Drosophila melanogaster: one gene and its partners. The protein of the gene in region 2 interacts with the protein of the main gene of each other region in a pairwise test. Each region holds a gene or a part of one and is shown on either strand. Other genes may lie near its edges.

Region 1 (5,761 bases), on a different chromosome or scaffold from region 2:
CTCTGGTCCGCCGTCGATCCGGATATTCGGAAGGCAGAGAAACGTCGTCTTGCGGAACATAATTGGTGCCAGCGGGAAATGTTTCCAGACAGCAAGCCGTACTCTTACTACTGGTCCACAACGCATCCGAATGTAAGGGGCGAGGTGAAGCGGCGATTAAAGGAGGCTGACAGCAGGCGGAGTTGTGGAGTGCGCCAAAGATGTATCCAGCCAACCATTTGCAGTCGGGATTATTCAGATCAAAGTGAGGATGTATGTACCTGCAGCACTTCCACACATCAACAGATCGTTGAGAAAACTAGCTCAGATTCTCTCGATCACCACAATCATCTAACTTGTTCGCGTGCCAAGAATCTTAAGTCATTTGGACTAGGACACAGTAGAAATCGGAAAGGAGCTCCAATTGACAGTTCACTTGACTGGGAAGATAATCTTTCTACATGCAAAAGTAATCCCAGATGGCCGGGACTTATCTCAAGAAAGTTGACTGCAGATTCAGATGGACATCTCTCAAAGAAACCACGCCTGCTGCCCAGACTACATGCATTTGCCAAGCGATTTCTCTGGTCAGGATCTAAAGCAATTGAGTTTAAGTCGAATCAATCGGTGAGCGAAAGACCTAGGCATAGCCCCCGGTCTATAAATTTCAGGGAGACTTCTGATCTGGAGCATCAAAAAGTTAAGCAAAGTGTAATATGCAGCGAAATGAATCCTTTGGACAGGAAAATCTCCTTCAGGGATCAGGACAGTATCCTGGATATACGCGGACCAAGAGATCCCAAGTTATGGTCTACAACTATAAAGAAAAGAGGCAATTCGATACGAAATACGCACACATCGGGCTCAGAAATCGTTACGTACAGGAGTACCAACTCCTCCTTTGGGCAACCATCCTGTTCCAGGCGGCCACCAAGAGGCAGGAATTATCAGAAGTCGCAAGCAAAGAAATCCCCACTACGTAACAGAAGTTGTTCCTCGGATAGTTGCAGTCATTGGAGCTGCCACTCAAATGATACACGCCAGACAGCTCCCTGTCAAGTTCCTCAGCCTTTGGTATCCCGTGCCCAGCGGGAGTGGGAGGAACATCGGGAGCGCAAAAAGCGGGCTAAGAGGCATGTAGAGAAATGCAGGCCGTGCACAGATTACTTGCTCACCTCACGGCCAACTGAGTCACAAAATCCGGGCATACGTCGAGGATTGGTTACATATCGAAACTACGAGTTTACCACCGAACTAAGTGATCCCTGTGTGATTGAACCAAAGGGGAATCGTTTCCGATTTACAGAACATTGTCCCATGCACAGGGATAAGAACTACTCACGGTCACGAAATTATCGACATTTAGCTCGTTGTTGCGATGACTCCGATGCCTCCAGGCACTATAAAAATCCACATGGCTCGAGAAGGATACGGGGAGGTATAGATTTCCATGAGATTGAATATTCTTCACGAAGGCAACGCTACACAGCGCACAATTTTCCAAAAAACATGCCTTCCAAACTCGAAAGCAACAAGACACAACCATGGAAGTCACCTAAGCACTTATTTTGTTTCGATTAGAAATAGGAGGATAATCGGGCTAGCAAGCCGACTGTCAAGTGGCCATACCATGTTTATACTAATGGATTACCACCTGACATGCGGACTAGCATACCTCATATACTAATGACAAATTATGGTAAATTGTTCATTTTCAAATTATCACGATTAAAGTTTTAATTGCGTAGAAACAACAGTTTTTCTTTTAGATAATATAAATGCAAAGCTGGCTGGGATTGATTAGGGTAGTATTTACTCGTTGGTAAACTTGGCAGGGCGCTTCTCGGCGAAAGCGGTCATGCCCTCCTTGCGATCGGCCTATTGGATGAAAGAAAATACAAGAGATTAAATAGTGTTAAGCAGATATTTAAACTTGAACTAACCGTGGAGAACGTGGCATGGAAGGTGCGACGCTCGAACTTCAGGCCCTCTTGGAGAGTGGTCTCGTAAGCCGTGTTAACCGCCTCCTTGCACAGCTGCACGATCAGATTGGAGTGGGTGCCGATCTTCTCGCCCAGCTTGACGGCCTCGCCCAATAACTGGTCGGCGGGCACCACCTTGCTGGCCAGACCCAGCTTCTCAGCCTCCTGGGCGCCGATCATATTGCCGGTGAGGCACATTTCCATGGCCTTGGACTTGCCAACGACGCGGGTCAGACGCTGGGTGCCACCGGCACCGGGAATGGTGCCCAGGGCAATTTCAGGCTGACCAAACTTGGCCTTGTCACCGGCATATATGATGTCGCACATCATGGCCAGCTCACAGCCACCGCCCAAGGCGTAACCATTCACGGCAGCAATGATGGGCTTCTGGGTGCGGGCCACCTCTGTCCAGTCGTTCAAGAAGTTGCCCTGGATGCACTGCGAGTAGGTGTTGCCCACCATCTCCTTAATATCAGCGCCAGCGGCGAAGGCCTTCTCGCTGCCCGTCAAAACGATGGCGGAGATGGTCTTATCCTTGCTGAATTGCTGCAATGCGGTGGACAGCTCCTTCATCAGGCCATTGCAGAGGGCATTCAGGGCCTTGGGGCGGTTCAGGGTGATCACGCCTACGTTCTTGCCCTCGCCGGCCACTTCGGTCTTGATGTACTCCCAGTTGTTGTTGGTGGCTGAAAAGAGATGGCATCATAAATGAGGTGATCGTATGTGCGCGAATGTTACGCAATCAATGTTTATTTGCCTGGAAAAGTACAAAAGATGTCGCCAAGAAACCGGCGGCACTTGATATCTTGATATTCCGGCTTAGGTTGGAGCTGGGCATCAATCGCGTGGACTTTGATCCCTCGCAATCAACCATCTACTTACAGGAGCTGCTGAAACGGGTGGCCACCTGTGGCTGACGGGCGGCTGCCTGCAGGACGCACTGGGCGCGGCTAGCGAAGATCTTAGCAATGTTGGCCATTTTCAATTGAAGGAACTCTGAGCCGGCTGCAAGTGCAATTCGTTATCTAATCTGTGGCGGTATCTGGCATGGAGCCACTCTAGAACTTGGGATACTTACGCTGCGAAGCACTGGAGCAATATTGGCGCACTAGTGGGGCAGGTGTGACCGCGTTCGCTCCCACCAGAAATGCCACTATTTCCAGTCACTGTTTCAGTCACAGTTTGGGTCGCAGCAACAAGTGGTTCTAGCATTACAGCTGTTAACGCAAAAGTATTGTTAACAGCCGAAATTAAAATGTGCAACCTAATAACACAATTATTATGTTCTTAAATCTGTTTTAATATATTTACAATATAATACTACTTCTCACGTTTTACTCTAAAAATAAATATACATTCGTATTTAAGCTTTTAATTTTTATGGAGAACTTGAAATAACATTATTTACATAAGATAAGCCTAGATAGTTTGAAATTAACAGTACTTTTTATCAACAACTTGGCTGGTAAATAAGTAAGTATGCGTGATCACATGTTTAGCTTTGTAAAAATTAATTCCTAGACCTTTGGTATTGAAGATGTCTGGGGAAGATTACTGCTGGTCTCCACCAGCCAAATGTGCTCCTCTCGTTGCCTTCTTGAGCCATTTTCTCGACGCACCCGCCAAATTAGAAACACCAATACCACGATTAGGAAGCAGAATATTACTATAACCAAGCTGAAAACATACGCTTGGGGTGCTAAAAGTAAATAAATTAGTATTAATGAAGAAACTTTTGATAAATACACAACTTACTTTCACAGTAAGGAAACTTCCTAGCCCACAATGCGTCCTGGCAAATGTTCTGGTTCTCGCCTTTCAGTCTGTGCTCCGCCGGGCAGTCGTAGTAGATACGGGTGCCATTGGCTACCCTTGATCCTACAGTGAGGATTGCATCTGTGAAGTGCTTAACCATAACGTTTGGCAGTTGGGGAACCACGCACTCCCCGTTCTCCTGAAGAGGATTTGGTCGTGACGCCTTCCTTGTTACAGGAACAGTGGGAGTTATCCTATGGATACTACTTTCCGTAGTTGTACTTGTCGTTGAACTGACTGTAGTCGTTGGTATGGTAACGCCCTCGCAAAGGGACTCCAGCTCATCGTCTCCATCTCGGCAGTCACGGATGCCATCACACAATTTGGAATAGGTCATGCATTGGCCAGAGGAGCAGTACATTTCCCAGTTGTCGCAGTTAGCCTGCTGCATCTGCGCCCGGCACAGCCAACCCTGCTCATCCGAACCATCCACGCAGTCCTGGACGCCATCGCAAACCGCTGTGCTGGCTATGCACGCACCGTAGCTGCAGCGAAATGCATAACCCGGACACCAGACCTTCTCACACATGGCGACCGTCTCATCGGAACCATCCAAGCAGTTGGCGCTCCCATCGCACAGCTGGTCCAGTTGGATACAGTCGCCTCCTCCACAGCGATGCCCGCAGCTTGTGGCATTTTGGGATCCCAAGCAAATGGTGACGGCTAAGGAGAGAAAAATCACCAGCTGAATTGAGAGATTCTGATGCGCTCCGAACATTCTAAATGGGTTCCAATCGACAGACTGACGGTTCCATGGCGCAGTTAAGGGTATTATTACGAGAGTTGTCCAAACCAGTTTGATGATGATACGGCTCTAGCTGTGCACAATTATCAGTCATGGGGTTTTCTGAGCGGCAGTCAGTATTTTCAATGACCGAGCTTATCACGTTTTTAGATAATCCTATCAAAGGGATATTCCAAAGTTGTATCGAGTTTGCCATTAGTTGTGATGCACGTTTTGTGGCGAAACATTCCCGTTTCCAAATCCAAATCCGGAAATGTTTAATATACTTTTGGTTACTAACATGCCTCCAATAATTTGCCATCAAGAATATAAAAAAGTAAGTTCACTAAACAGATTCAAAAATATTTGAACTTGAATAAAAACTTGTTATATTCTTTTATCGTTTATTTATATATTTGTTCATTGTTCTTATTGCTTTTCAAATGCATATTTTAGTTTATTTCTCTGGTGAGTATACTTATGTTAGTACGATAATAACGTGCTTTAGTTTATAATCGAACGCATAAATTATAAAGAAAAGCTTATGGTTGGGTTGGGTACAAATACAGCTCGGGGTTGGCTGGCCGGAAACAAAAAACTTGCAAAATACTTGAAGTAAACTTAAGTAACACGTCAAATGCTTTCCAACAAGGAAAGTCTCGTTATTTCTTGTGCGCAGATGCCGGCGGTGTGCCGTAAAACTTCCGCTTCTTAATGGTGCCTCCTTTGAAGGGAGTTGCTGTGAAGGAGAGATAATTAGAATAATTAAAAAAATTAGCTCATAAATAACTCACCATATAGCGAGAGTAAGTCATTTTTGTTGCTTGGCACCCGCTTGATAACTGTGGCCGGTGTTCTTGTCGGATCTATAACGATATATTGCTCCCAGAACGAAACGGGCAGCTCAAGAAGTGCCTTCATCACCTGCTTCTGGGTGAAAACTTCCGTGTAGATCGCATGCTGGTCGGGATCTGGTGTGGAGTAGCCCACAATGGTGGGGCCAAAGATGAGCGAGATGTTATCGATCGGCATTAGCACGACTGGGCACTGGGCAATTCGTTGGAAGTGCAGTATGAGGAAGGCCAGCGTATCCCTATTGGCCTGTGGTAGCTGCTTCACCGACTTAACCAACATATCCTGGGCAGTTTTGGTGTCAGGATTTTGGACTGCGTTTGCGAAATCCTTCCATTGGCTGGTGGGAATGAGAGGCTCTGTTAGGGACCTCAGGAAATCCTTGACACAACAGCACAGCACATAGATA
Region 2 (8,187 bases):
GCAAATAAACTATATATACATATATGTATTATATAAAACTGATCGCTTGTGTCACTTCTGAAATATTTATATATATATATTCAAAATATATAACAAATTTCACCCATTCAGAAGAAATCTTTCGTTGTAATGAAAATTTGTCGGCTTGTTTTCGTTTCTTAATGTTGATTTTTTGTAATGGTTTATTAAAAAAAAAATAAAAACACTTAAGCTAATGCCTAACATAAATACATACCGAATTTAATCGAATTGTTTTTCACTTCTTGTTTTCGTTACTTTTCTCTATGCGTAATTACTATCAATTGTAGGTAATTTGTATTTGCTTTCTGTTTTTTTTTTTTTTTTGTTTTTTCAACATTATATTTTCCGTTTCGCTGCGCCTTTGCATTACAATAAAATTTTAATTCGATTTAAGTTTTACAGATTTCTCAACCCGATCTCATGTTTATATAATATAATGTATATATAGATGTGGGTGTTATGTGCATAATTTTATAAGTCAGTTGTGTTTTTGTCTGTCCATCTGGTGCTGCTGCTTTTTCTCCTTATCTCTTTCGATGTCATGCATTGCTGCTAATATTCTTGGAAATTTATTCAGGGGCATTTGGTTCCTCTATTGCTTTGGCTGCTGAATTCAAAACAGGAAGTGGGAGACAGACACCAAACTGAACCAGCAGCTTGCCGCCGACTCTAAATTCGGGATGTTTTGGAAGTCCACTCGCCGATTTCAAGATAATTAAGTGGATTCTGATACCCAAAAAGTTGATGCTGAACTCAATGCGAGAGTAGGACAAGTGCATCTCAGAAAAACTAAAAGCTAGCTTTAATCGATGAACTCGACTAACTCCCCCATTCCATTCTGATTCAGAATTCAAGGACGAAAACGCTTCCTACTGCCTGTTCCATACCTTTTTTTCACCAATCCAGCATACGCTTAACTCCACGGGTAACGCATATAAAGAATGATTTCTACATCAACTTCAGACACCCAAAAGTATTTAGAGATCTGCAGAGACTCCAAAACATCCGCGCCATATATCTAACATATTTTACGTGTGTATGTGCTGAATGTGATGCTACTTTGGCTATGGCTATGCTAATCAGGGACTTTAGCAGCTGATCGTTCGGGGCTTAAGCTAAAAGAGACCTTCTTTCCATTCTTAACTAGCCTACTTAGTGGGTATGAAACGCGCCTTGACCGCCTGTCCCATCGGCAAGTGCAGCAGTTGCTGCTGCTGCGCCGCCTGCTGCTGTTGTTGCGCCGCCTGCTGCTGCTGTTGTTGTGCCGCCTGCTGCTGCGCCTGCTGCTGTGCCGCCTGCTGCTGCATGTGCTGATTGATCTGCTGCTGGATGGACAGGCCGCTGACATTGCTGATATGCTGGCTGTGGAGCGATTCGTTGATCTCGATCTTGATGGCCGTGGCGGCCAGCGTTGTCGCCTTGTTCTTGTTCTTCGGCGGACGCCCACCTGGATATGCAACGAAAGGCGTAGTGAGATTCAAAGTGAATGAGTGAATGGTGAGCACTTACGTTGCCCTGTCGTGTGCTGCAGTGACAACGGCTGGCCGATCATCGCCAGCGGCTGTTGCGACGTCTGCAGCGTGCCCGCCTTCTTGGATCGCTTCGGAGGCGGCAGCTCGTGGTGGGCGTGATTGGTGAGCAGGTGCTTGGAGAGGTGCTGGCGCACCGCAAAGGACTCGGCACAATTGGCCACCGGACAGGAGAGGTAGCGACCCTCGACATGGCGCTGCACGTGCTTCTTCAGCAGCGACTCCTGATTGAAGCTACTCGGGCAGATGTCGCACTTGAACTTGAACTCGTCGTGCATCTTGAGGTGCTGGTCGAGATGGGCCTGCTGCAGGAACTTCTCGTCGCACTTGTCGCACTCGTACGGAAAGGCCAGGCCGTGGGTCTTCATGTGCGTATGCAGCTGCGACTGCAGTTTGAAGTTCTTCTCCGGACAACGCGGACAGTAGTAGCCGGTGACCCCAGCGTGCGCCTGCAGGTGCTGGTTCAGCGAGGTCACCTGCGTGAACTTCTTGTTGCACACGTTGCAGCAGTACTGCTGCACCTTGTGGTGCGACTTCATATGGTTGTTCAGGTTCGTCACCTGCAATGCGAGAACATATCGAGCCGTTATTATCATAAATCCTCTGCAATTTATCAATTTATCTTGGAACTGACCTGGGCGAAGCTGCGACCGCACTCCGGTTCATTGCAAACGAAGGGCCGTTCGCCGGTGTGCAGCCGGCGGTGATTGTTCAAATTGGTGATCTGCGTGAAGGTCTTGCCACAGTCCACGCACTGATATGGCCGATCGTTCGTGTGGATGCGTTCGTGGTTCCGCAAGTTGGCCGCCTGCGTGAAGCCTGAAAATCCAAGAGGTACATCGATTGTTAAGAACCAGATGATGTGTGCGAACGGCATATGGGACTCACCTTTGTGGCAGTAGGTGCACACAAACTTACGCTCCGCCGAGTGATTTCGTATGTGCGTCATGAGCGAGGATTTGCGCGAGAAAGTTTTGTTGCATAGCGGGCAGGAGCCCTCCTCGTTGAATATCAGATCCACCTTAAAGAAACAAATCGAACATTAGTTGCAAAGGGCTTGCCTTCTACCGCGGGTTACCTTCCATCAGAAAGGCATTATATATGATATGCCATTTTACTTTAATACAACCTACTATAAATTTATGCGAAAAACCTTTTTTCTAAGCTGTACATTATATATGCATATAGTTCTAACGAATAAGTAGCCAAGTGCACATCACTGTGTCACTATCGCCCTCCCACTCCCACTCACGCTCAACAAGCTGGCGGCCAAAAGAACGGATTGCAAATTCCCGTGCGAATTCAGTTTGTTTATTGGGGAATCACTTGAGTTACATTTAATATTTTTCACGAGCTTTTTTTTTATTATAATTATTTTATTTATTTTTCTGCGTGCCACGCACACCCACACACCAAAAGCGCCAACTGAAAATGAATTTTTTCCGCTTTACACAGCGCACAAAAACGCCGAGCTGCGTCGACTTCGACGTCGACGTCGACAGAGCAGATATTAATGGAAAAAGAAGCACAAAATATATGTGTATATACATATATCTATATATATATATATATATACATATAAATATAAAGGAAAACAAGAAAATGAGCAGTGCGAAATGTAGCAAGTGGAATAGAAAATACTCTCACGCTCAACACTTTTCTAACCCGTTTGTAATGCATATCTGTAGGGCCTACCGTTTTTAATCTTCTATAAGAACTTTCCAACACTACCACGTCGACTGTGTGATGGAATGAGACTGTACTGAAGTTTTTTTTTTGAAATTTATGTAAATAGCAGCAATAGTAAATAGTATCTAAACATGTCTGCAATAGAGCATTCCCAAGTCGTCGCAAGGCAATTTTACATTTATTTATACATTTTTTTTTTTTGCAATTCTCTGTTGCATGATGGAAAAAGAAAGGCAACAAGAACATGCAAAGAAACGGCGAAATAAGAAGTGAAGAAGAAAAGCAGCGGCTATGAATGTGCAGTGTGTCCGTGTGCATTTATGTATATGTATATGTAAGACTTTTGTGAGCGGGGGAGTAGTAGTGAAATGTAAGAAAATGAAGAGAAAATAGCACAACAATAATAAACAAGTGCAGCAAAAGGAGCAGGAGTCGAACTCCCTGGGAAGTAAAGCACTCTTCTGAAAACGGTTGATGGGGGTCTTCAAACCCCTATAATTCCAAATGCAATGCATCTACTGAGGATTGCAGTGAACTCTGTAATTAGGTTTAAATTGTCAATTTTTTTGAATCATTTATAGTTTGATGGGCAATTGCATTGATTGGATTCCTAAACCATAGAACACTTTTCGTGGACTATTAAACATTAGGATTAAATTTTAAATTTATTCATAGATATTAATATACATATTCAAGACGTTCATATTTTAGTTGAAAATAAGAACGACCTTCAGTTATTTACTTTATTTATCTCCTTTAGTAAGCCCTTTGCAGCACTGTATTCGCTGCCACTTCTTGCCATGCCTCTCGTAACACTACACGTAGTGCAACCCACTCACTATGCCCTTTGCAACACTCTCCCTGCCTTGGTATCCCAATCCCTGAAATGGACTTACGTCTTCGGAGTCGTCCTGCGACTGTAGGTTCTCGGAAGAACTGGATGATTGCATTTGCTGCTGTTGTTGTTGTTGCTGTTGCGAGTTCTGATGCTGCTGCTGCTGCGGATTCTGATGCTGCTGCTGCTGCGCGATGGCGTCGCTGTCGCTGGAGGAGGCCGTCGACGAGGAGGTGGCCGCCGCTGCTGCAGAGGCGGCAACTGCGGCCGAGGCAGAGGCAGCGACGGCTGCAGCGGCCGCCGCCGACTGATGGAAGTTGGAATTATTTGTCAACTGCTCCGAGCAGCGGACGCACGTGGGTATGCTATAGCCGGGCACCTGGAACAACTGTAGGGCGGGGGAATAGAATAGAACAGAACAGGACACGTGAATTAGAGAGTGCTTCCAATTGGAAAAAAAAAACCAATAATGCTCTTTATTTATTGTGGCAACTCAATCTTATTCCACACATACCCTCCCCCTTCCATGCCAACTAGCCCTTTCTCTTTTCCACCAACTAGAAATAAGAGCCAAGAAGATAAACACACGCACACACACAGGCACGCACACATGGAGAGCGAAAAAGAAAGAAAAGAAACTACAATAACAACAGCACCAGCAGCTCGTTGCTTTGTTGTTGTTGTTTTCATTTCATGTTATTTTTTTTCTTCGGTACAACGTTTTGTTATTCTTTCGCTTTTTGTTTTGCTTTGCCGCCGCTCTGCCAGCGGCGGCGGCAGAGGCGTCGCCTACAAAAAAGGGGTTATTTGGTAATTGTTTAAATAATGAACTAAAAACCAAGCAAAGTTAGATCTGTTTTGTTAGTTTTATAACCGCTTAACTTTAAATTTTTGGGCTTAGATGCCCAATATAGTAAACCCTCTGTCACTAAATTAACGCGCAGCCACTGCGTATTTGGCTGCCTTGGCGCAATTTCTGTCATTTTGTTTTAATATGTATTTCTTTTTGTGCGGTTCATGGGCGGCGGGAGGGGGCTGAAAGAGGGGGGCCTGTTCGGGGGAATAGGTTGAAAAGGAGTCAAAGTGAAAAGCGAGTGGCGAGCGTAAGCAAAATGTAAAAATAATATTTTTTCAAGTTGTCGGCTTGAACAACTTTTCGGGCTGAGTTGGCTAAAAATAAAAATTGTTCAGCAATAGTTTGGGGTCGCATGTGTATGTGTATTTCTTATTTCTGTGTGTGTGCGTTTGTATGTGTGTGGGGAAAGGGGGGCAATGCGCGCGCTTTTGAACCCCGCCCCCTGCGCCAACAACCCGCCCGCACAATAACAGTAGCGCGAATTCAATTGTTTAAACTCCACCAAAAGAAAAAAAATCAATAGAAATAACAAAGTGTATATACCTAAATCACATGTGTGTATATCTTTTTTTTTTTGTTAACATACCGTTGCCGTTTGGAAGCACAATCTACAGATGGTGTCCATTATAACAGTAAATAAGGAATAGGATGGGGAGCAGGAGAAGGAGGATGCACTTTGTTGCTGACTTTTGCCCCCTCTGCGGTCGTTGTTGTTGTTGTTGTCGTCCTTCTCCCTCGCAATTTACCGCTATCTTTACCGGTTAACATTCAGCGCCGTTTTTCTTTTTCGTTTATTATTATTTAGTTCGTTTTTTTTCTATCTTTTTCCTTTTCCTTCCTACTATAAGTTTGTGAACACGATCCAAACGATGTGTGGTTGTATTTGAAACTAACTTTTTGGAGTTTGGTTTGCGTTTGGATTTCGGTGATCGCTATATGGCATATTATGATGGCAAAAACAAAAAAAAAACTATATAAATGATATAGAAATTTGATTTATACGATATTTTCGTGGTACACACACACACGCGCGTTGTTTATGTTTGCCTTGCACTTGCACATACAAGCAAAAATGCGGCGCTGTTGTTGTTGCTGCTTCGAAGTTCTGCTTCTTTTTTTTGCTTAATTCCTTTGCCCTTTTTTTGGCGTAGTTACACGTGAAAAAAAAAACAAACCAGCGCGTTCGAATGCGTTTTTTTTTTGTATTTTACAATTCACGACGAAGTTTTTGTCCGTCGTCTTTTTTCCCTTTTTTTTGGGGCCCGATGTTATTGTTGCGCTGTATGCGTGAGCCGTGTGTGTGTATGTGTGGGGAAAAAACGAATACGATAAGAATACGCGGTATAGTTGTGCTGCTCTAACCCACAGGTTGGCTTGGCCGGTGCTCCTTGGCCTGGCCTATCGATATTTCTATCGATTTCCGTAATCGAAAACGAGGCGGGTAATGGAATCGTTGTTGAAAACAAGTTTTTTAATTTATTATTTATTTAATATTTAATTGCAAGTCCGAAAGATTTATTTTATCATAGGTTATTTTATTTAAATAATTGATGGTGTTTTTTAGGCAGCCATAGAATCATGAACTTTATTTTACAACAGAATAAATATAAAATCATTTTACAGAACAAAGTGAAACAAACATAATACAAAACTTTCACAATAATTAAACAAACTATGCTAAACGATGGGTACAAATAATAAACACTTTAAATTGGATACTTTTCACAATATTAAATCTACTGTGTAATCTAATAATAAAATGAAATGGACCTTTTTTTAAATACAGTAGACAAATGTCCAGAAAAACAGATTAAAGACGAGAAAGGAGAGCGGAAAAACGAATCTGGCTCGACTATCAATCCACATGGCTATTTCCTGGGGCGTTAGCGTGGTCCAGCCACTCAGATCGATCTCCTCCTGGTGCCCCGCGCTCTCCGTTCGGTTATTGTTGGTCAAAGTTTGGCTGCTGCTGGCAGCACTGATCGCTCCAGTGGACTGGGCAGAGCCCATGGATCCAAAGGCACTCTCCACAAAGTTAACATCCATCTTCTGGACGACGCGGCTGGTCCTCTGCTGATCCAGAACTTGGCCCTCCTTAATCGTGGTGATGGGCAAATTGACGGTTAGGTAATTGTTGAAACCGGCACCGCCCAGCGAGCCGGTATCCGCTGTCTTATGCAGAGCCGTGCCCGAAAAGGATCTGGATCTGGCGTGACTGCGTCGTCTGAGCAGATTCGGCGATAGAGTTGACTTCAGGATGTGTTTGCTGTTCAGTTTCTTGACGGGCACACTCTTCTTACGACGCCAAATCGTGTTAACAAAGGCGAACTCCACCATGCTGCCAAATATGAAGATGGTGCAGCCCAGGAACCACACCTCTGACACCTTGATGTAGCTAACCTTTGGCAGAGTCTTTCCCTGTGCCGAGGCCAGGGTAATGAATGTCAGCAGGGTGCTGGTGCCCAGCGTGATGCGCGGCGGCGCCTGATCTGCTTGCAGCCAGAACGATACCCAGGATATGGCCACAATCAGCATGGAGGGTAGAAAGTAGTCCATCAGGTAAAAGCCAACCACTCGCGTCAGGTGAACGGTGAAGCTGAGGGAGCTGTAGTTGCCGGCAAAGGCTCCATGACGCAGGTCACTCAAATCGGCATTGATTACCGTCTCGTTTGACCAGGAACGCTGCAGCACAAACTCGGTGAGATGCAGTGCCCCATCGTAGGTTATCGGACGCTTCTGCTCCCAGTGGAGGACCAGTTCCGACGTATTGTACATCCAACTCTCCAGCACCGTCGAGCAGTGCTGCTCATCGAATGGGAACTTCTTAAGGTTGAGCCAGCAATAGAGTGTCGCCTTGATGCGATTCGAAACGATCACTGTGCCATCGGGCGATATCGAGGTGAGGATGTCCTTCTCCGTGAGACCTACCAATTAGTTGCAATCAAGCACGAGTCTACTCCAGACTCTACCGTACTCACCCAAAATACTGGAGTCGCGCTCATTGGCTAGAAATATGTGGGGCATCCAGAGCGAGTTTCTCAGGTGCTCCTCGCCCAAAATCGGCTGCCTGCGCTTGGGACTTACGTTGCGAAAGTTGAGACGCGGATCGAGGTATCGCATTTGGAGGAGCGCATAGATCTTGAACTGTAGATCGTGTGCTTCCAGGTTCTGCATGAAGTAGATGTAGGCGCGCATATAGACGTCCACCGGTAGCCGCTGGCCAGTTTCCGAATAAGTTATGGGTCGTTCCAAACGAT
Region 3 (6,255 bases), on a different chromosome or scaffold from region 2:
CAGCGCTGCAAAAAGGGCCAATCCCAGCCGTCCACCAGCAAAGAGGCGGAGACGGATCCGGACACCAGCATCAGCAATTGTCTGCGACCGTTGGATCTGGACGTGCGCAATGCACCGGCCGGAACGGTACGCATTCAGGCCCAGGACGACCAAAAATGGGAGCCGTACTTTAGCAAAAACGAATTCAGCATTTGGCGGCGGCAGGAGCGCTCCTCCTTATACTCATACAAGGTAAGAGGCCATCTAAAAGTTTTTTAGGGCTCACTTTTATGCCGCCTTTCCGTTTGCAGGTTTATGCTCGATTCGACGACATCACAGCGGACGACTTCCTCCACGTTCAAACGGATTTGGATTACCGTCGCCAGTGGGACGACACGGCCCTAAGACTTGAGCTCATCAGCGAGGATCCCGTCCCGGGCAGCAACTCGCATCTGATATACTGGGAGATGCAGTGGCCACGACTGTTCGCCAATCGCGACTACGTCTATTGTCGCCGCTACATAAAAGACGACAACAAGAAGCTGATATTCATTTGCAACCGCGGAGCCACGCACAACACCTATCCGGCGTTGTCTGGAAAAGTTCGCGTCACTGACTATTGGAGCCTGATGGTCATCAAGCCCTTTCGCGGTTTCCATGAGCCAGGCCTCCACTTTGTCCTCACGTACTTCGACGATCCGGGCATACCCATACCGCAGAATATTAAGTCCTGGGTTACTCAGAAACAAATGCCCGAGTTCCTCACCAAGATGTACGTGGCCACCAAGAACTACGCCTGCTCACGGGCCATCAAGATGAAGGACATGTTTCACGGATTCGCGCTTATCAATGACGAATATACGGCTAATGAGCAACGCGGCAGTTGGTTGGGCAGTTTGAGCCGGCGCAAGGTCAATAGTAAACCCGAAGCAGGTCGTTAACTCCTTTACCATTATATACCTGGCTGCTCCCGCTCCCATGAGACCTCCCTGCCCAACAGAGCCACGTATCAAACCATCCGAAAGCCCAGTTCCATCTTATGTTCATCCCTTCGATCGGCTTTAAAATTCAGGCGAGAGAAATCGAAACCATTGAACATCAGAGCAAGTGTGCAATAGGTGGAAGTTTTGCTCTTAACATGAGTGCCACTTTGATGAGAAACTTAAAAATAAATATATACCTATATTAGCTATATGGCTAAACCAAAATATTTTAAGTTTAGAAATTGTTTTAAACGCAAATAGAAATTATTGAAATTAATTGTACAATAAAAGAAACGAAAATAGACACCCAGAGACTGAAGTCTACAAAAAAGCAATGTCTTGCATAACTATTGATATTTTACGGCATTAATTTTCATTCATGCATAACATTATCTACACCAGATAGTAACACTCGTGCTTATCAAATAATTGGTCAAGCATTATCTTGAATTACCTTTTTTCAATTACAATTTCTCACCCGAACTTCGGCTATTCTTATCGTGCACTGTATACAAATCAAATTGGCTTAAGAGGATTACACTAATCTGATATGGTATTTAACATACTAATTTATATTTTTAATTAAATTTTATTATTTTATTATAGAGGGATAAGCGCAGTAAAAATGAAATTATACTATTAGTTATAACATAATTTATTAGTATGCTATATAGTTACAAAATGCGCATACATTCTATAAAATATTCGATAGTCTAGACGACATTCAAGCTGATTGTAAACTGAACGGAACGAATACAGTTTATGGTAATACAAAAAGTGAGATTGCAAAGTGTTGTGGGAGAAGCATCGTTATACTTTGCAACAGCGTATCACAGCTCTGTGCGGTCCGCTGAGGTAGGCGGGTTGTTCATATAGGCGATAAAGTCCTTGCTGGTGCGTCCGCCATTGTAATCCAGCTTGGTTTTGAGGTAAGAGAAGTACAGAATGGTGGGATATCCGCGTACGTTATACTTTGCGCAGAGCGCGGCAAGCTTTGTGCAGTCGATGGCGACAAACGCTATCCGAGGATCATCCTGTAAGGCCGTGGCAGCCGCTGTAAACTCCGGTTTTGTGTGCTTACAGTGTCCACACCCTGAAGACGGTTAGTCTTTAGTAGAGCTTTAAATATGTTTAACAATCAAGCGGCAAAACTTACAGGGTGCATAGAACATGACCAGCGCATGCTTTTTCCTCTTCAGCGTCGAACTGAAGTTGTCGTCATCCAGAAATAGGACTTCCTTGCTGTCCTCCTCCTCCTCCCAACTCTTTTCGGGTGGCGGAGGCGGTGGGGGCTCCTTGGGATCTCTCATAAATTCAACAATTTTCGATGCTTCGCGTACATTTACTTCAAACTTAAAGACGCCATTCGAGAAAAACTTAACAGTTGGATAGCCCTTGACTTTGTATTTCTCTGCGATTGACGGCTCCTTCGTTGCATCCAACGCAGCCAAAAGGCCGGGAATCTTTTTCTGCTTCATCTCCAGAGCGGCCTTTTCGTATTCCGGTTTCATGCGCTTACAGTGTCCGCACCAGGGTGCATAGAACATGACCAGGGCGGACTTCTCGTCCTTCAGAGCGGGCTCAAAACCCTGCGAGGTGAGATGGACAATCTCCGAGTTGGTATCCGCCGACCATTCGGGTTCCTTGGGCTTTGGCGTTGGCTTGGCATTTGGATTGAGCATAAAAGACACCAAAGCCTCCTTGTTGTTCTCTCCTTCGTATGTAAAGCGCAGCTTGCCGTTTTCAAAGTAAATCAGGGTGGGAAAACCTGTAAATGTATCGTTTAATTTAAAACTAAGCAAAAATTGTTAACTTACCAGTTATGTTGAACATTTTGCGTATAGGAGCGTTCTCCTGTCGCTCTACATTCATAGCCGCCAGAATATAACCGCCCTTAGTTTTCAACTCCGTAGACGCTTTTCCGTACTCTGGCTTCATTTTCTTGCAGAATCCGCACCACGGAACATAGAACATGACAAGCATGGGCCGGATATCCTTGCGTAAATGCTTTGTGAAGGATGCGGCATCGCTGAAGTGCAGGACATCCTTGCCGGCTGGATCCTCCTCCCAGGGCAAATCGCCGGAGGGATCACGCATGAAAGTGATCATGGAGCTGACGCTCAGCTGCCGGTCGTAGTCCTTGTGGAAGTCGCCATCCTTGTAGTGTTTAATGGCGTAGGGGTCCGGCGATACCTTCAACTTCTTGCACAGTTTCTTGCGATCCTGCTGTCCGCAATCTAGCAGCAACATTGTCCCGGTTCCCCGTATCGCCTCCGCCGCCTCACGGAATATCTTTAGCTCAGCAGCAGCGGACTTCGCACTGGTCACGTAGAGCGCGAGGACATTGTTCTTGGTGCGCAGCAGCTTCTTGAAGTCCTTATACTCCGCGATGTCATCCTGCACCGCCGAGGTTTTCGATTTTGCGGCAACAAGTGCCACCAGCAGAAGAAAAACAAACTGACCGGTTATCCACATCAGGCGGCTTGAACTTTACACCTACAGGTAACAATTGACCTAACTGATGCTATACTAGTTAGTGCGCTCTAGGTAATTGCATGTTTAACACAACATTAAAGCGTCATTCTTATTTTACAAAAAGAAAAACCGCAAGTAGAAGACGTGGACTAGTTGAGAAACCTATCGATAGGCAACTTTGAAGGAGATGGCAATAACAGCTTGGATCAAAGTGCCGGCTATTCGAAAAACACCTGTACCATCACCAACCAGTGCTGACGCTTAGCAAGCCTAGCGGCCAAATAACTTAAAATTAATATTAAAGGATTAATACTAAATATAAATATATTGGAAAACAATTGCAAATACATGTGCACTAAAATGTGCACTGTACTAAAATATTAATGACGAACAGCTTTTAAGTCAGGTACAGCTGTTGATTTATTAAAAGATTAATTGAAAGCTAATTTTTATTAGGTTAAAAATAGCCATATCCAAAGAGCTTGCGACTATCGATACGCCGATTAGCAGCGCCTGTACGTGGCAGGCGACAACCCTATGCCAGCTCTGACACATTAACGAAGCGAAGAAGAAGAGCAGCGGAGGCAGCAAAAGAGTTTTTTTGGTCTCGCCGCAATTAATTAGTGTTTTCGCAGACAGCCATAGTTGGCCCAAACCGTGGAAGATGCCTCTCAAACTAGACATCAAGCGTCGCCTGACGTCGCGCTCGGATCGGGTCAAGTGCGTCGATCTCCATCCGGCGGAGCCGTGGATGTTGTGCGCCCTATACAATGGCCACGTACACATCATGAACTATGAGAACCAGCAAATGGTTAAGGACTTCGAGGTCTGCGACGTGCCTGTGCGCTCCGCCCGTTTCGTGGCACGCAAGAACTGGATCCTCACCGGCTCAGATGACATGCAGATCCGTGTGTTCAACTACAACACCCTGGAGAAGGTGCACTCGTTCGAGGCGCACTCGGACTATCTGCGCTGCATCGCGGTGCATCCCACACAGCCGCTGGTGCTGACCAGCAGTGGTAAGTGAACGGCGGGGTGGTGTGACTCCCATTTCGTCACCCAATGTTTACCTAGTGCACCAGCTGGGAAGTATGCTTCGGTTTCGTGTCTTATTCCTGTTTCCTCTTTATTCTATAGATGACATGCTCATCAAGCTTTGGAATTGGGAGAAGATGTGGGCCTGCCAGCGTGTCTTCGAGGGCCACACCCACTACGTCATGCAGATCGTGTTTAACCCGAAGGACAACAACACCTTTGCCTCCGCCTCGCTGGATCGCACTGTCAAGGTGTGGCAGTTGGGCTCTAATTTCGCCAACTTTACGCTGGAAGGACATGAGAAGGGTGTAAATTGTGTGGATTATTACCATGGTGGCGATAAGCCATACTTGATTTCCGGTGCTGACGATCGTTTGGTCAAAATCTGGGATTACCAAAACAAAACCTGTGTGCAGACTTTAGAGGGGCATGCTCAGAATATCTCCGCAGTCTGCTTCCACCCGGAATTGCCGATCGTGTTGACTGGCTCAGAAGATGGCACCGTCCGCATTTGGCACTCTGGCACTTATCGCCTCGAGACCTGCCTCAACTACGGCTTCGAGCGGGTGTGGACCATCTCCAGCATGCGCGGCACCAACAACGTGGCTCTGGGCTACGATGAGGGTTCCATCATCATTAAGGTGGGCCGCGAGGAGCCAGCAATGTCTATGGACGTTGTGGGAAGCAAGATCATTTGGGCCAAGCACTCCGAAATGCAGCAGGTTAGTTAGACAATAACATATCCTTTCAACTTTATTTCTTACTTCGTTCTTTTCTTCTAAAGGTCAATCTAAAGACTATTGCTGATGGCACAGAGATCAAGGATGGCGAACGCTTGCCCGTTGCCACCAAGGATATGGGCGCCTGCGAGATTTACCCGCAGACCATTGCTCACAATCCCAACGGTCGTTTCGTCGTTGTATGCGGCGATGGCGAGTACATCATCTACACATCGATGGCCCTGAGAAATAAGGCTTTCGGTTCCGCGCAAGAATTTGTGTGGGCCCTCGAGAGCAACGAGTACGCCATCAGGGAGAACAACGGCACCGTTCGACTCTTTCGCAACTTCAAGGAGCGCAAGAGTTTTACTCCAGAGTACGGAGCCGAGAGCATATACGGTGGCTACTATTTCGGTGTAAAAACCTCATCCGGATTGGCCTTCTATGACTGGGAGACGTTGCAACTGGTGAGGCGCATCGAGGTGCAGCCAAAGAATGTGTTTTGGAACGAAAGTGGCAGTCTGGTCTGCTTGGCCACAGATGACTCCTACTTTGTCCTGGGGGTGGACACTGCCCAGGTTGCCAATGCCGTAGAGACCAAGGAGGGACTGGAGGATGATGGTGTGGAGAGCGCTTTCAATGTGCTGGGTAAGTTGATACCAATTATCTAATATGTATCTTATCTTTAGAATACGTGTCTCAAACACGATTTCTCAAATGAGATTCCGCTTTCAATATTCCTATAGAGAGCATACAACAATGGTTTACTCTGTATTTCACCATGAGAGCAAACTATTTTAAATTTAAATTTAAAAAAATATTTCCATTTACCACATAATAGCAAGAAAGTATAATTGTATTGTATTATGCATTTGTGTTGCAGGCGAGGTTTCGGAGTGCGTCAAAACAGGACTTTGGGTGGGAGACTGCTTCATCTATACCAACTCGGTGAACCGCATCAACTACTACGTGGGCGGCGAGATTGTGACAGTATCCCACTTAGACCGCACAATGTATCTGCTGGGCTACGTGCCCAAGGACAATCGTATTTACCTCGGCGATAA
Region 4 (8,850 bases), on a different chromosome or scaffold from region 2:
TATCGCCGTAGTACGTTCCGGTCGCATCTATACAGTGCTCATCCGAGATTACCTCCCAGAATTTACCACCGATCTGGTTACCGCATTGACCGGCCTGAATGTGTACAATTTCACGCATTTTGATAGTAAAGTTAGGGCCCCTTTTTCACACCGAAAAAATGGTACAAAAAAAAATCGAGCTTTTAAAACAGTCTGAGTGGGGCAAAAATCGGCAAAAGACTGAATATTTAAACGTATAATTTTTCAGGTTTAGATTTTAGTCGTGTACGTGCTAGCTGATACTGAGGTGAACTGAACCTGGCTTGGATTACTACACCGAATGTTCACAAATAGGCTACTACGATTTCCGACTTCGACACATTTCACACACCCCGATTTCAGAAAACTCAGTTCTCCGTTTTGAGCACAAACTTTAATAGTACTTACATAGATAAACGAATATACGGCTAAAATTCGAGATGGGATGGATTTGGCGGTGCCTTGGAAGCAATAGAGGATTCCAAGGCTACCGACCAGATGATACGATTGATATTGACATGGATGTCCTGGATTTTACTCCTTTGTAAATGTTTATATGGGTGTATAATGGGATGGGTCGATTATTTCTTAAGCAAAAACTGCCTTTTAAAGACTATTAACCTTGCTCTCCAAACTTATATGTATTATGACCCATCCTGGTTTAAAAATCTACGTAGGGAGGAAGGTTTGTCTAACAACCAAATTTTGGCGGCGGATGGTTCTCTACAGGATTGTAACTACGATTTGGTGATCCATTGGCTCTGGCTCCTACAATGAGGAGTCCCACAGCTGGCTGTACGGATATCAGACGGAGGCTCGCTTCAGGCACAAGGTGCTCTCGATAATGTCGGTAGGCTGAAAGTCCGGGTCCACGAACTGCTCATGATTCAGGCACCTGGTGCCACCCATGCAGGTGCAGGAACACAGGGAGGCGGTCTCATCGTTCTCCGTTGTGTAGTTGTTCTCCAGCAGCTTGCCGTGCATATTGTACGTGGACTCATCATCGAAGGTCACCGGCTGGGCATTTCCAGCCAAGTTCTGAGCATCCTGCTCATCTCTCTTGGCATCCTCTGCTTGCCTGTGATTAAAAATCCATTAAATAAGATATTTCCTGCAATAGAACATGGACTCACATGGTCATGAATCGGAGCACCAATAGATTGATACTGGCGGCCACCACGGCCAAGCCGAATAGGATGAAGACCAAGCTCAGCGCCACATAGCCAGGCTTATTAGTTAGAGCTTGGTCGTTCTGCAATGCCACATAATCGCCGAAACCAATTGTCGTCAAGGTGACAAAACAATAGTAGAAGCTATCGAAGTAGCTCCAACCCTCGTATCGGGAAAAGACTGCTGCTCCAGTGGTGATTATTATGGAGGAGAGCATTCCGGTGGCCAACATGAGATTCATTTCGGTGGCATCCGTACAGCGAGCTCCACTGGCTCTCTTTGCCCGCCTTATTATCACGGATGCAAACTTATTCAGACGTTCTCCGATAGACTGGAACATCACCAGACCCAGCGGGATGCCCACCTAATAAGGGAATATCTTTAGAAGACTGGAAATTGGGATTGTAAGTTCACTTACCATAGCATAGCCCATACAAAATGCTTTTCCCGGAATTGTAACTGGCGTAGAATGACCATATCCTAAAGAAAGTTACAACAGAATTATAATCTATTCAATAAATCATATTTAATAGATAATTAATTTACCTATCATTGCCAGTACAACCGTGCTGAAATAGAAAGCTCCAGCGAATTTCCACTGAGGTCCGGCCTTGTGGGGCTTATTTTCAATGATGACGATTTCCATCACACGGAAATCCTCGTCAGTCACATTGTACTTTCTAACAAAGTTGTTCTTAACGGCTACAATTGATTAAATAAATTCATTACTAAGAAATTAGGTTAATAAATCAACAAGCTTCTCACTCTGTAGGAATTCCCATCTTTTGGCCTCCGTTGGTGACTCCAGGGAATCGAACACGGCGGCTCCAATTAAAAGATAGGTGAAAGTGCATACCACCAGGGAAAGGGTACGGACATTCTGTCGCTTCATCATATAGTCTCAAATATAATCACTACGATCTATAATCAATTAATATATTTTGCACCACGCGCCTTTTTCGTTCAGTTAAAGATGCTGCGTCTGACAAAATCGATAGTTGTCAGCAAAACAAACACACAGCATCCGCCAAAAATGGTTGATTTCGGTTACAGTGGCCGAATAACATATGATACAATGAATTTTAAAAATTTCATCATTCTTTAAATATGTAATAAGTTTTCTTTTATCTATTGATTTGACCGTTAATCTCAATAAAGGATTGTGATTTTACCGTTAGTTTATCACAACAGAAGCAACAGAATTTGATGGCGTTGCCACTTGGCGGTATCTGTTAACTCTGTACAGCTAAAAAGCTGTAATGTCACGATAACTAAGGATAATAATAATTTTTTTAAAGGATCAATATACACAAACAACATAAGAGTTTTATTACATTTTCTTTAATTGCCTTTAAAGTTTTTGTCTTTCTAAGCCATTTTAACAATTTAACATTTTGCAGTTAGCAGCGCCGATAACTTGACAGCCTATCGATTTTCGGGAAAAGCAAACATATCGCCAGATCTGATTTGTTTATGCTAAAAAAAAACCACGCAAGTTCCAACCGATTGGATTGTTGCAGTTGGCTGCTGTGTCTCTGACGTCGACGTTTCCATGCTTAATTAACCGGAAAATGTTGCGAATACGTCGGCGGTTCGCTTTGGTAATTTGCTCCGGCTGCCTGCTGGTTTTCCTCAGCCTGTACATAATCCTCAATTTTGCGGCGCCGGCAGCCACCCAGATAAAGGTAAATAAATGCTTCTAAATCAATTCGAATGTATAATAACTTCTTTATTTTAGCAGCCCAACTATGAGAACATTGAGAACAAGCTGCATGAGCTGGAAAATGGTTTGCAGGAGCACGGGGAGGAGATGCGGAATCTCAGGGCGCGTCTTGCCGAAACATCCAATCGCGACGATCCAATAAGACCTCCACTTAAAGTGGCTCGTTCCCCGAGGCCAGGGCAATGCCAAGATGTGGTCCAAGACGTGCCCAATGTGGATGTACAGATGCTGGAGCTATACGATCGCATGTCCTTCAAGGACATAGATGGAGGCGTGTGGAAACAGGGCTGGAACATTAAGTACGATCCACTGAAGTACAACGCCCATCACAAACTAAAAGTCTTCGTTGTGCCGCACTCGCACAACGATCCTGGATGGATTCAGACGTTTGAGGAATACTACCAGCACGACACCAAGCACATCCTGTCCAATGCACTACGGCATCTGCACGACAATCCCGAGATGAAGTTCATCTGGGCGGAAATCTCCTACTTTGCTCGGTTCTATCACGATTTGGGAGAGAACAAAAAGCTGCAGATGAAGTCGTAAGCATGCTTTCCCTATATAGTATTGATACAATAATGAATAACGGTAGTTAACCCACAAAACAAAGTGCAATGCCATTTTGCTATTGCATTCCATAAACCTTACACAGTTGTTATGTGCAGCAGTGAAATATTTTACTTCGTTATTGCGTCAAAAGCGTTTAGATAAACAAAATGCATGATCACGCTGCTTGTTTTCCGAAACAGCTTTGTACTTATCTACCTAATATTTATAACCCAAAGCAGAAATAGGAATTGATAAGCTTTGCAGTCTCAACAACTACAATATTTAGTTTTTAACAAAAAATAATAAATTATTTACTTATTTACAGCATTGTAAAGAATGGACAGTTGGAATTTGTGACTGGAGGATGGGTAATGCCGGACGAGGCCAACTCCCACTGGCGAAACGTACTGCTGCAGCTGACCGAAGGGCAAACATGGTTGAAGCAATTCATGAATGTCACACCCACTGCTTCCTGGGCCATCGATCCCTTCGGACACAGTCCCACTATGCCGTACATTTTGCAGAAGAGTGGTTTCAAGAATATGCTTATCCAAAGGACGCACTATTCGGTTAAGAAGGAACTGGCCCAACAGCGACAGCTTGAGTTCCTGTGGCGCCAGATCTGGGACAACAAAGGGGACACAGCTCTCTTCACCCACATGATGCCCTTCTACTCGTACGACATTCCTCACACCTGTGGTCCAGATCCCAAGGTTTGCTGTCAGTTCGATTTCAAACGAATGGGCTCCTTCGGTTTGAGCTGTCCATGGAAGGTGCCGCCGCGTACAATCAGTGATCAAAATGTGGCAGCACGCTCAGATCTGCTGGTTGATCAGTGGAAGAAGAAGGCCGAGCTGTATCGCACGAACGTGCTGCTGATTCCGTTGGGTGACGACTTCCGCTTCAAGCAGAACACCGAGTGGGATGTGCAGCGCGTGAACTACGAAAGGCTGTTCGAACACATCAACAGCCAGGCCCACTTCAATGTCCAGGCGCAGTTCGGCACACTGCAGGAATACTTTGATGCAGTGCACCAGGCGGAAAGGGCGGGACAAGCCGAGTTTCCCACGCTAAGCGGTGACTTTTTCACATACGCCGATCGATCGGATAACTATTGGAGTGGCTACTACACATCCCGCCCGTATCATAAGCGCATGGACCGCGTCCTGATGCACTATGTACGTGCAGCAGAAATGCTTTCCGCCTGGCACTCCTGGGACGGTATGGCCCGCATCGAGGAACGTCTGGAGCAGGCCCGCAGGGAGCTGTCATTGTTCCAGCACCACGACGGTATAACTGGCACAGCAAAAACGCACGTAGTCGTCGACTACGAGCAACGCATGCAGGAAGCTTTAAAAGCCTGTCAAATGGTAATGCAACAGTCGGTCTACCGATTGCTGACAAAGCCCTCCATCTACAGTCCGGACTTCAGTTTCTCGTACTTTACGCTCGACGACTCCCGCTGGCCAGGATCTGGTGTGGAGGACAGTCGAACCACCATAATACTGGGCGAGGATATACTGCCCTCCAAGCATGTGGTGATGCACAACACCCTGCCCCACTGGCGGGAGCAGCTGGTGGACTTTTATGTATCCAGTCCGTTTGTAAGCGTTACCGACTTGGCAAACAATCCGGTGGAGGCTCAGGTGTCCCCGGTGTGGAGCTGGCACCACGACACACTCACAAAGACTATCCACCCACAAGGCTCCACCACCAAGTACCGCATCATCTTCAAGGCTCGGGTGCCGCCCATGGGCTTGGCCACCTACGTTTTAACCATCTCCGATTCCAAGCCAGAGTGAGTAGCCAGTTAAAGATTACCCATTTATCAAAGGAACAAGAATCCTTTCCGTACTTTCTGTATTAATTGTACATTTTCGTAACACGTTTCGCTATGCCGTTTCCTTAAACCATTATAGAGTGCAGGTTTTATTTATTGATATTAATATTTCATTAACCAGATGCCGTAATTGTCTTCTATTTATACTATTTATTTATACTTTTTCAATAAGCATTTCAATGTTACTTACAGGCACACCTCGTATGCATCGAATCTCTTGCTCCGTAAAAACCCGACTTCGTTACCATTGGGCCAATATCCGGAGGATGTGAAGTTTGGCGATCCTCGAGAGATCTCATTGCGGGTTGGTAACGGACCCACCTTGGCCTTTTCGGAGCAGGGTCTCCTTAAGTCCATTCAGCTTACTCAGGATAGCCCACATGTACCGGTGCACTTCAAGTTCCTCAAGTATGGCGTTCGATCGCATGGCGATAGATCCGGTGCCTATCTGTTCCTGCCCAATGGACCAGCTTCGCCAGTCGAGCTTGGCCAGCCAGTGGTCCTGGTGACTAAGGGCAAACTGGAGTCGTCCGTGAGCGTGGGACTTCCGAGCGTGGTGCACCAGACGATAATGCGCGGTGGTGCACCTGAGATTCGCAATCTGGTGGATATAGGCTCACTGGACAACACGGAGATCGTGATGCGCTTGGAGACGCATATCGACAGCGGCGATATCTTCTACACGGATCTCAATGGATTGCAATTTATCAAGAGGCGGCGTTTGGACAAATTACCTTTGCAGGCCAACTATTATCCCATACCTTCTGGTATGTTCATTGAGGATGCCAATACGCGACTCACTCTCCTCACGGGTCAACCGCTGGGTGGATCTTCTCTGGCCTCGGGCGAGCTAGAGATTATGCAAGATCGTCGCCTGGCCAGCGATGATGAACGCGGCCTGGGACAGGGTGTTTTGGACAACAAGCCGGTGCTGCATATTTATCGGCTGGTGCTGGAGAAGGTTAACAACTGTGTCCGACCGTCAGAGCTTCATCCTGCCGGCTATTTGACAAGTGCCGCTCACAAAGCATCGCAGTCACTGCTGGATCCACTGGACAAGTTTATATTCGCTGAAAATGAGTGGATCGGGGCACAGGGGCAATTTGGTGGCGATCATCCTTCGGCTCGTGAGGATCTCGATGTGTCGGTGATGAGACGCTTAACCAAGAGCTCGGCCAAAACCCAGCGAGTAGGCTACGTTCTGCACCGCACCAATCTGATGCAATGCGGCACTCCAGAGGAGCATACACAGAAGGTGAGCTTAGAAGTTTATTATATTAATATCAAAGAAAGTGGAAATGGTATTTATTTATAATTAACAATATTGTTTGACTAATTGTTCGTTCGTCAGCTGGATGTGTGCCACCTACTGCCGAATGTGGCGAGATGCGAGCGCACGACGCTGACTTTCCTGCAGAATTTGGAGCACTTGGATGGCATGGTGGCGCCGGAAGTGTGCCCCATGGAAACCGCCGCTTATGTGAGCAGTCACTCAAGCTGATCGCAACGTGTTATGGCAAAGGATAAAGCAGAAACTGAAGCCAAGCGACCATCTCACAACCTATGAATCTCGGACGCTAATCCACTGCAATACAGGCAATCTTCGTTTAATGTTCGACTTAAGCACTGACTGCACCGAAAGACGTAATGCGTAATCCATACTACGTATCATTTATTTATTCAAGCTTCCACACGAGGGTTTGGAAATTCAATCCTATGACGCAGCGGTGTATTTTTCGCACCCCCGTGTAACTACACGTTTTACTCTGTTTCCCCTAGTTTTTTACGTTTTTTTGTGATATCCATCCAGTCCCACAGCAAGCAATACATGTCTGTACTCGATATCCCCAATGGGGTTATTGCCTATAACAATGAATCGTAACTATAACTAACGTTTAACTGTAAAGTAGGCTTAGTGATAATGACGCAACTGCAATGATATTAATCTCGACGTTTGTTTTTTACAAATTGAATAAAATTGAGTCTCATTTAGAATCGACTTTTACGTGCTATTCTAAACTAAAAACATAACGACTGTTTTTATTCGAAAAAGGAAAGGATTTGTATTACTATTCAAAATCGTCATTTAGGCTTTAGTTAGAATCGTGTTGTTGGTAAGTTATGAATGCACTTTCTATGAATATTTAATTTTTCTCAGTAAACTAAAATAAATACATTTTAATTTAATTTTTAACATTACATTTAATTTTTTTTTTAATATTGTAAGTAATGAATGTTAGTAAACAGTTGATCTTTGCATTATTAAGTTTTGAATTTATGTGGATTATGAAACGAGCTTTTGAGACGACTAATTAAAGCCATAATCATGAGTTATAGTTTTAGTGGATGAAAAACAGAATGCAATCTTATCAGCTCCAGTGCGGGGTACTATTATTGCCAGAATGACCTACAGAGATAGAGATACTAAGAGCGCGGAATTGGAAAATGCACAATGGAAATGGAAATCCGGATTGAGTGTAAAGTGGTTGTTTTGGATAGAGAGCGAATCGCTGCGCAGTTCGCTCTCTTCAAAATCCGAAACGAGCAACGAAAGCAAAACCGAATCCGAATCGGAATCCGAATTCGTATTTGTATCTGTAAGATACGCTCTCGCGCTCTCTTCAACGACGACCATCGGAATTTTTCTATACAGAAACAAAAATCTCAGTCAGCTCGCTGTTTTCAAGTTTGGAATCCGCATTTCAGTTCAGTTGGATTCAGTCACAGAGTCAGAGCGTCAGATTCAGATCATCGTGGTCGCCAGTGAGTTTGTTTATATGTTTGTGGCTGCCTGTGTGTTTGCTTGTCAAGTTCTGCAACAAAAACAAGGCATCTAAACAAAAGTGGTTCAAAACAATTACGAGGAATAAAATCCAACTAAAACGAATAATAAAACACACAGTGTCGCTTAAATCGCAGAGTATCTGCAGCTCTAGTTCTTGTTGTTGTTGTTTTTTGAGGCGGACTGGAATTTAATTTAATTAAATCAAGTACGAATGTGTGCGTGAGTGTGTGTGTGTGTGTGTCTAAGCTGGGTTCTTGAGTTGTTCTTGTTCTAAGTTCTTTTTTTCGTGGCGTGTATCTGTGTGCGCGTGTCGTGTGCTGGTTTGCGTGTGCTTTTTGTGAACTACGTTTTGTTTCAATGCCAAAAAAAAGTATCTATGCCCTGGCATGTGCTCTCTCTCCATCTCTCTCTCGCTCGCTCATGCTGGTTACATAAATACTGGTAGAAGAAGTGGAAGAGATGGTGGTGAAGAAGGAGGAGGCGGAGGTAACAGAAATTGAAATACAAATTCAATTAACACCTGAAAACGAAAATCCAACTGGAACGCAAACGTCTGATTGGATAAGGAAAATAGAAAACGGGCAAACATGTGTTTGAATTTCCAACTCGTCTTCTTCTTCCCGTCCCTATGAAATGTTCAAAAGCAAAGCTCCTTGAAAGAGGAGGGTATAAAAGAATGTGGAAAAGAGCAGCAGAACCAGAACGAGAACACCAAAAAAAGAAAACGAAATTAACGACGTCACATAAAAGTGTGTCAAAGCA

What was found.
Region 1: the proteins of CG32772 (region 2) and Echs1 interact in a two-hybrid assay, tested with the Drosophila melanogaster proteins (one large-scale study listed by BioGRID).
Region 3: the proteins of CG32772 (region 2) and CG9302 interact in a two-hybrid assay, tested with the Drosophila melanogaster proteins (one large-scale study listed by BioGRID).
Region 4: the proteins of CG32772 (region 2) and alpha-Man-IIa interact in a two-hybrid assay, tested with the Drosophila melanogaster proteins (one large-scale study listed by BioGRID).

The regions. Positions count from the first base shown.
Region 1 is NT_033778.4:13,851,259-13,857,019, forward strand, and holds Echs1 (Enoyl-CoA hydratase, short chain 1), read right to left. Parts: upstream 3,074-5,761; 5' UTR 2,941-3,073; coding exon 2,844-2,940; intron 2,648-2,843; coding exon 1,923-2,647; intron 1,858-1,922; coding exon 1,792-1,857; 3' UTR 1,689-1,791; downstream 1-1,688. Other genes in the region: CG30485 (uncharacterized protein), read left to right, coding at 1-1,560; CG6553 (uncharacterized protein), read right to left, coding at 3,479-3,660, 3,717-4,494; tum (tumbleweed), read right to left, coding at 5,163-5,239, 5,295-5,761.
Region 2 is NC_004354.4:4,907,127-4,915,313, reverse strand, and holds CG32772 (uncharacterized protein), read right to left. Parts: upstream 6,213-8,187; 5' UTR 5,995-6,212; exon of another isoform or gene 5,863-5,994; 5' UTR 5,556-5,862; coding exon 5,517-5,555; intron 4,463-5,516; coding exon 4,136-4,462; intron 2,934-4,135; exon of another isoform or gene 2,803-2,933; intron 2,572-2,802; coding exon 2,439-2,571; intron 2,370-2,438; coding exon 2,185-2,369; intron 2,111-2,184; coding exon 1,531-2,110; intron 1,469-1,530; coding exon 1,170-1,468; 3' UTR 153-1,169; downstream 1-152. Other genes in the region: CG6927 (uncharacterized protein), read right to left, coding at 6,707-7,854, 7,909-8,187.
Region 3 is NT_033779.5:13,374,921-13,381,175, forward strand, and holds CG9302 (uncharacterized protein), read right to left. Parts: upstream 3,619-6,255; 5' UTR 3,438-3,618; coding exon 2,780-3,437; intron 2,731-2,779; coding exon 2,119-2,730; intron 2,056-2,118; coding exon 1,793-2,055; 3' UTR 1,535-1,792; downstream 1-1,534. Other genes in the region: CG6565 (uncharacterized protein), read left to right, coding at 1-231, 291-920; beta'COP (coat protein (coatomer) beta'), read left to right, coding at 4,102-4,456, 4,575-5,194, 5,257-5,839, 6,075-6,255.
Region 4 is NT_033777.3:9,409,935-9,418,784, forward strand, and holds alpha-Man-IIa (alpha-Mannosidase class II a), read left to right. Parts: upstream 1-2,613; 5' UTR 2,614-2,759; coding exon 2,760-2,873; intron 2,874-2,926; coding exon 2,927-3,456; intron 3,457-3,788; coding exon 3,789-5,261; intron 5,262-5,495; coding exon 5,496-6,558; intron 6,559-6,654; coding exon 6,655-6,804; 3' UTR 6,805-7,330; downstream 7,331-8,850. Other genes in the region: betaTub85D (beta-Tubulin at 85D), read right to left, coding at 1-118; Task7 (TWIK-related acid-sensitive K[+] channel 7), read right to left, coding at 823-1,096, 1,152-1,552, 1,607-1,668, 1,735-1,890, 1,954-2,083. UniProt on the Drosophila melanogaster protein: Catalyzes the first committed step in the biosynthesis of complex N-glycans. It controls conversion of high mannose to complex N-glycans; the final hydrolytic step in the N-glycan maturation pathway.